Linked DNA regions of Xenopus tropicalis. The protein of the gene in region 2 binds, or shares a complex with, the protein of the main gene of each other region. Links are inferred from orthologs where the notes say so. Each region holds a gene or a part of one and is shown on either strand. Other genes may lie near its edges.

What was found. Proteins that work in one complex are often made in the same cells at the same time.
Region 1: ncoa6 (region 2) and kdm6a share a complex: the UniProt entries of both Homo sapiens proteins name them as parts of the MLL2/3 complex. The link is inferred for Xenopus tropicalis from reciprocal best matches to the Homo sapiens genes NCOA6 and KDM6A.

What each region holds. Positions count from the first base shown.
Region 1 is NC_030678.2:55,786,481-55,790,138, forward strand, and holds part of kdm6a (lysine-specific demethylase 6A), read right to left. Parts: coding exon of another isoform or gene 3,539-3,658; intron 3,284-3,538; coding exon 3,188-3,283; intron 1,779-3,187; coding exon 1,674-1,778; intron 1,030-1,673; coding exon 634-1,029; intron 1-633. UniProt on the Homo sapiens protein: Histone demethylase that specifically demethylates 'Lys-27' of histone H3, thereby playing a central role in histone code. Demethylates trimethylated and dimethylated but not monomethylated H3 'Lys-27'.
Region 2 is NC_030686.2:41,065,842-41,069,985, forward strand, and holds the start of ncoa6 (nuclear receptor coactivator 6), read left to right. Parts: upstream 1-1,204; 5' UTR 1,205-1,397; intron 1,398-3,162; 5' UTR 3,163-3,281; intron 3,282-3,381; 5' UTR 3,382-3,416; coding exon 3,417-3,642; intron 3,643-3,770; coding exon 3,771-3,926; intron 3,927-4,011; coding exon 4,012-4,131; intron 4,132-4,144. UniProt on the Homo sapiens protein: Nuclear receptor coactivator that directly binds nuclear receptors and stimulates the transcriptional activities in a hormone-dependent fashion. Coactivates expression in an agonist- and AF2-dependent manner.

The DNA of each region.
Region 1 (3,658 bases), on a different chromosome or scaffold from region 2:
GGGTTACATGGTATTTCAACAACACTTCTGTGCATAATATTAATAAGTACAGATAAAAACATACCACTTAGACTGATTCAGGGCACATTGGTTTATCTATAATATAAAGTTTTGTACTGTTTTCCCCACTGGGGTCTAAGGAAATACAGATTACCTGTGCAGCTAGACCTTAATAGTATTACCTAATTTTAAGCACATAACTGGTTTGCCCTCCATATCTTTAGTATTGTCTGAACAGTGTTAATTACACACGTGTATAAGTATTAGAAATATTTTTCCATAATCTCAAACAAAAAAAAATCTTGCGCACCAACAAATATGCAGTGAGGAAATGATTATATAGAACACACAATTCTCTCATAATAATTTATTGTCTGTAGACTGAAAAGCAAAAGTTAAAGGAACAGTTCAGTGTAAAAATTAAACTGGATAAAATGGATAGACTATGCAAAATAAAAAATATTTGTAATATAGTTAGGCAAAGACGCAATCTATAAAGGCTAGCGTGAGCAGATGTCTAACATAATGGGCAGAACTTTACATCTGCTTAATAATATACCACTGAAGCACTACATTAGAAATATTCTGAAAGCTTATTTCCTTGCAAGGTACAGAAAGCTCAAGATCTCTTACCTGAGTGGAGTTAGTTAGTTGGTTTTTCCACGGCTCCTCTGCGCTGCTGGTCAGGTTTGTGCGGTTATGAGGTAGTGCGAGTGCGTTTCGCTGCGGGTAAGGCACATTTCCATTACTTCCATTTCCCGTAATATGATTATTGCCTATCAACATAGTGTCTGCACTGCCCACTGGCCCTGTGGTACTGCAGGAAACTTGGCCTACTGGAAATGGTCCATTAGCCACAGGCTGCGCAGGGCAAGCCGGACGGATTCCAGGCTGAGCGGCATTAGGCATCCTGGTTAATGCAACCTGATGTTGCTGACCAGTGAGTGAGTTTGTAGGCAGTGTTGAGTCAGCAGTTGGCCCGTTAGCAATTCCAGTAGAACGTACCTGTGAAAGTCCAGTTTGTCTCATCTGTTAGAAAAAAATATAAAAAAATATGATGATGATCATTTAGGCAAATGGAAATAAATTCCTCTAATCAGTAAGTAAACCTAAAAGTCACTACTGAAATAAAGTGCTGTATGAGTGCAACACATTTGTAATCCTTTTAGTGATAACTGTGGTAAATAAATCTAATGGCTTAAATGCCAGTTTCGTATGGTTGAAATACTTAAGAATAATGGAATAAGTTAAGGATTAGATAAGGCAAAGGAAAATACTATTCTGTCAAATCCTAAAAATATATTTTATGCAATTATACATGGCATTGTAATTACAAAAAACTGTATAGACCTCCATTATAGATTTGCAAACTGTGGGGCTGGTCATTTAGGGTGCCAAAATTTTTGCCAAAATCCAGACTAAAATTAGACCTAGATCCTAAAGGCCTGACAGGGTGGAATATCGAGTAAACCCTTTAAATAGATACTGACAGCACTATAGCAGTATGACAAAACCACTTATATTTTCAAATATCTAACTTTGAGAGGAGTCAAGCAGGCACTAACTAAATGCTGGGCCTCAGAGGGACCAAGGTGTTGAATGCAAAAACTTTGGAAAATACAGCTGCAGTAGAAATCTGCAGATCTGCATTATTTGAGTACAGAAGCATCTACCTGCTGTTGCTGCTGCATTAAGACAAACTGAGCCTCCAACTGCTCCAACGCCGCTTTTTGTGCTGGATTCAGATTATTCCTGTTTGCTCGTAGCTGTTCCAATTGCTAAAATCAGATAAGTTAATTTTACATGGTGTAAGACACAAAATCTGCACGTGAAATGCTAATCTTTAAATCAATACTATATTGTAATATGTTTACTATAAGTATTCCATAAAAACTATTTTCAAACATCCTGAGGTCTAAAAGATCAACTGGTGTGAAGATAAGTTTAGATACACAGGGTAGTAAACATTGGTTTTAAGCATTATTTTTTTAGAATTTTAATAAAAAATGTGTTTGTGTTTTCAGGCTTTAAATGTAAACTGCTATTCGGTTGCTATTAGCTGAATTACCCTACCAATAAGACAGAAATATGATAGGGATTTAAATAAATTAATGAAATTGTAATCTCATACACATTACTTTTTGGTTGCTAGAATGCAGCGACCCTGACAGCAAATAGTGATGCACCCATAGATTTTTTTGCTTAAAAATATTTAGTTCTAGCTCTAACCCACCCATTTCTGTGTGCATACATTTTTTGTCCACACAGCCAAGAAATTAGGGGGAACTTCTGACTTATAACATCCTTATATTTTACAATAGAAAATACATTTACTACATATTTTGGCTCGTCTTCACTTCCTCATCTGACTGCAACAAAACACGGACTGGTCATCTGTAAGCCACAGGACCACAGGATTGTCTATAAAAGTTGACCCTTAAGCCGACATTCATGCTCAGATGGTCTTGCAGTTTATATCCCCCAAAAACTTTAACCAAAGCTGGAAATGTACCTCATCTAGCCTAATATAGCTTCAGTATACACTACATGCTTTTAAGTGCACTGTCAATACCCCATGCTCACCCCATGCTTGAGCACTTATTTAGAATGGATTTTAGCACAGTAATGCAAAAAAACAAAAAAAAAACAAAATGCACTTTTGTGCCAACACATATCTACACACCAGCAAAGAAAAAAACCTGTGTACAATTAGCCTTAACCCCTTGTATTGCTTATCAGTGTGTGACCAGTATGTTCAATATATACACCATTTTATTTTACAGCACTGAATAATATGTTGACATTTTATAATTACATTAAAATATGCCCACATTTCCACTTTAAAATTGCAAATATTTACAAGGATCTTACCATGACAATATAGGAGCAGAAAAGTGCTTATTGTAGGGCAAAGGTTAGGGCAAAGGTTACCTGGCATAATATAGAAACTTTGGTTTTGGGAGTGTCACTTTCAACCAATGCCTTCTCTAGTTTCTTGTTATGTAAACCCAAATGTAGGTCAGAAGATGATGCTAATGAAGATTGTTTGATTTTCATCAAAGCCAATAAAATATCTTAACCTCCCCCAAAAAACAAACAGTTGTTTGGATATTGCATTACTTTCAGTGCTTAATTCAAAACTAAAACAACCAAGAGAGAGACAGAAACAGCATAGGACTATTCATACCTGTACTTTGTGTGGCGGCAAACACCACGAATGTACTTGTTGCTGTCCTGGAGTATGTGACGCCAAATGGCCACTGCTCCAGGTATCAGAAGTATTCTATTGAAAAAAGAAATTATTGAGAACTCTTGATAATAGAACACTTTTAAACTGTATTCCAACTGCAATATGTTACAGGCAAAACAATCTATGTTCTTCAAATATTTGGTGCAATACTTAAGCACATTCATATGAAAAATTATTTGAGCGAACTTTCCTTCATTTTACATGTAATTAACTTAAATGAAGTGGATGGTTTAAAAAAAATAAATAAATAACAGCATGGGCCACATACATTTTTGGCATGTGAAATACCTTTGCTGGACTAGATGTTCTTTTCCTCTTGGCAGGACTTGACAGTTCATCTACCTGGCTAGAAGGAATCATGTGTAATGGCAAGGACTGCTGTGAAATTGGTGTTTGACTGAGGCCTAG
Region 2 (4,144 bases):
CTACTATAGTTTATATAAATACCCCGCTGTGTAGCCCTGGGGGCAGCCATTCCTGCACTGGTACAGCTGGGGTGTTTGCTACAGAAACCCTACTATAGTTTATATAAATACCCCGCTGTGTAGCCCCGGGGGCAGCCATTCCTGCACTGGTACAGCTGGGGTGTTTGCTACAGAAACCCTACTATAGTTTATATAAATACCCCGCTGTGTAGCCCCGGGGGCAGCCATTCCTGCACTGGTACAGCTGGGGTGTTTGCTACAGAAACCCTACTATAGTTTATATAAATACCCCGCTGTGTAGCCCGGGGGCAGACATTCAAGCTGGAAAAAAGGAGAAAAGGCACAGGTTACATAGCGAATAACAGATAAGCTCTGTAGAATATAATGGGGCTTTATCTGTTATCTGCTATGAGCCTCTGCCTTTTCTCCTTTAGGGCTCTGGCACACGGGGAGATTAGTCGCCCGCGACAAATCTCCCTGTTCGCGGGCGACTAATCTCCCCGAGTTGCCATCCCACCGGCGAACATGTAAGTCGCCGGTGGCACACGCGGCGGCGCGATTTCGGCAAATGCAGTACATTATATCTTAATTATTTTTATACACTTTCATTTCTTGGTGTTACTGTTCCTTTAAGAGCTATAACTCTCAGCATTCCTTCATGCCGTTTGCTGGATCTATTAACCAGAAACCCATCTCTGGAATGTTTTACAACATGTGCTGTTTCACACAGAGCCCTATGGTTGCAAAAATGTTTCAATAATTTTTCTCTCTGAAATAATAAAGCAGAACAATAAACTTCAAAGAAAATAATCTGCATAAATCCATTTTGGTGGTTTTTTTTAAAAAAAAATGTCTTTTTTAGCAGCCTTAAAAAAAAAACCACCAGAAAGGACCCTTATCCATAAAAGCCAACTTCCCAAGCCTGAAGGCTGTATTAGCAGAACATCCCAAGCGCTAAACTATAAAACATCCCTAAAGCTGTGGGACAGGTGTCTCTGTCCCTGTCATGGAGGTCAGACGGTGTCAGCATCCCCTCCACACTGAAACACTTCCTTTCATTGCGCACAACCTCGCCCATTTTCTGGCAAGTCCCGCCCACTTTCTGGCAAGCCGTAGCCCTGCCTAGCACGGAACTACCCCCGTACTCCTCTCCTGGGCTCAGCCGCACTGACGTCACGCCTCTCGCCAATCCATTGGTCGGGCGGACTCTACCATTTTGACAGGGGTGTACGCAAGCGCGGCTTCCTTGCAGTTTAGTGCTTATTGTGAGGTCAACACCCCCCTGCCGCTTGCAGCTAGTGGTACGGGCTGGGCCTCGTTGCTGTTCGTTGTTCCCGGGAGCGGAAGGAACCAAGTGTCCGGTGCGAGGTGAGGGGGGTGCACAATAATGAGAATGGGTATGTTTGTTATATGCATGCATAACTGGGCCTGTATGGCGAAATGTAAACATTGTAACTGTGCATTTGGTCTTATATCTGCCATTAACACCTATTCGTACCTACTGGGTAGCTGGAGTCCTATGCACTGCAAATGTCTGCTTGCATAATAGACAGTGTGTGTAATGAAGGCATTTTACTTACCCTTTAATGTTTCTTTATAGTGGGATTTAGGTACTGTGGGGCTGCACTAGCCCTTATGTTACAACCCTCTAGTGTAATTTATATTTGATATTGACATCCATCATATAGATATAGGCATTATGGTTGAACGTGATGGACGTATGTCTTTTTTCAACCCAACTTACTATGTTACTATCATTAGGGTGTGCTTATTTACAAGGACATATTTAACTGTAAGCCCCATCAGCATTGTGATATAAGTGAGATATAAGGACCCAGTGGCTTTATTAATGTCCCCCCTATCCTATCCTTTTCACCCTGTGGCTGGTGAGGGCTGCTGGGATATGCAGCAAAGGGTTGGGTGCTGTTTATAGGGCTAGAGCATCAGGCTTTACACCACATATTGCTTAATAAAGTGCTGCATAACGTGTTGGCGCTTTATAAGTAAATGATGATGATGTCTCCAGATCCATAGAAGTGGCAGGTATAGAAGGTCCCACCAATTTGCCTTCCCTCTTTCAGTGCTACGGGGGCTGTGAGTGACCAGTTATGGACTTGATAAGAAGGTAGGCAGCAGGCACATCTTTGCTAAACTATATAATAATGGTGCTTAGTTGTCACCCCTGTGTCATCAGGTAGATAATGACCCAGGCCTGGGTTTATTTAACCTTCTTCTCCTTTACAACAATGGCAAGTTTACAGATTTATGAAAACGTTCATCCTGCGATTGTTCCAAGAATGGCTAGGAACTTATGTTGCTCAACATCATGGTCTTCAAGGAATATCTAAGCCAATCATCATGCATCCCCAGTCTCACCCAAACTGCCCTTTAGGCTGGGCAAGGCAGGGGCTAATGTGATGAGCTGGTATAGTTACTGATGTACTGATATTAGGTTTTAGTTTGAGGATTTGGAAGAAGTCAAAGCATTAAGTATCTTAAAGAGGTGAAATATTAAATATAAGAAGGTTGCTAGGCTAGGGCTGGAGGGGGTCGATATGACAATAACGAGACACGACTAAGGCAAAGTTGATGCACTCTGAATTGTACAAGTATTTGAATTGCATTTATAAATATTTGTCATTTCAGTTCACATCCATAGCCAACAGCATATGCTTACGTACCAATGACTAGCATATGTTTAGCCAGTGATGTTGTAAGCTCAGAGTGCCTTCAGTGAAGGTCGTCCTATCCTCAGAATATACCAAAAAGTCTTTCCTTTTGTTTTTCTCCCAAATACCCTTGAGATAACTGGTTATCTGGACATGCATGCTATGATCTGCTTGTTTAGCGCTAACCCCATGGATATTTGTCCAAATCACATGATTAGTCTCCGCCTGGGTAATGTTGAGGCCTGTATAGACCTATTGGGAATGGACCAAGGTGGTCAGTTTTTTCAGCTAACCCAGTTAATATCTGTCTGTCTGGCCAAATTGCATAATACTCAGTGGCCATTGTTTAAACACTAAGGGCAGTGCAATTTACAGCTGAGATGGAAGGGGGAAGCAATTAGCCCTCCATAGACTTTTGTGGTTATCACCAGTGAAGGGGGGGGTAAATTTTTTTCTTCACTCGTATCTAAGTTATTTATAATTTTCTCAACAGGCTAACAAATTGGAGATCCTGGTAGTGGAAATAACTGAAGATGCCTGCCTCTGCCATTCATCTGACAAAATCAGACGGTGTAGAAACGTAGGAAAAGGGAAGAACTTGGAACATTATTGGTAAGGGAACTGCAAATCCAGGTTGTACGTTTGTACATTTATTTTTTATAGATATGAGCTCTGACATTTTGTGTGTTGTGTTTTTTTGACTCCTCAACAGAGTGTCATTGTCACAGAGTTGGAAGACACACGGTCATGGCCTCCCACTACCTTCCTGACCCAGGAGAGCCCCAGACCAGACCTCCTGCGTCCCCTTCACAACCGCAAGATGGAGACACCGACTCCGGAATAGAAGATGAGCTCAGATTAGAAGAAGCAGACTCTACCATTTTCTTGGCTTTCAAGGGAGATATTGGAGACACTGATTTCCAGCAAAAGCTAGACAAGATTTTGAATACTGTTCCAAGCCTCGTTAGCATGGGTATAGTAATCAACTTATTCAGGGGCATGGGGGGTGGGGGGGGCAAATACATGATCTCCCTGGGTTTCCCTGTGCTAGTCGGTAACATGCAAACAAACTCATTCAAATTGCATGTCCTCCCTGTGTAGAGTCCGACCAGCTGAGAGTTCAGAAGGTGGAGCCATGGAACAGCGTCAGGGTAACGTTCAACATCCCAAGGGAAGCGGCTGAGCGGCTGCGCCTCCTCGCTCAGAGTAACAACCAGCAACTACGGGACCTAGGAATTCTGTCTGTCCAAATTGAAGGTATAACCGTATTGCTTCTGCCCTTGTTTTTTGTCTTTTTATAATTGGTCCTTTGCATATTTCCTTACGCTGAAATATATTTTAGGGGAAGGTGCAATAAACCTCGCCTTGCCCCATCGGGCACAGGACATACGGATGAATGGTCCAGTGGCAGCAAACAGTGCTATGAGACTAGATGGCAATTTTGCAATGCAAGGCGGAACGGGTAGGTCAGAGCT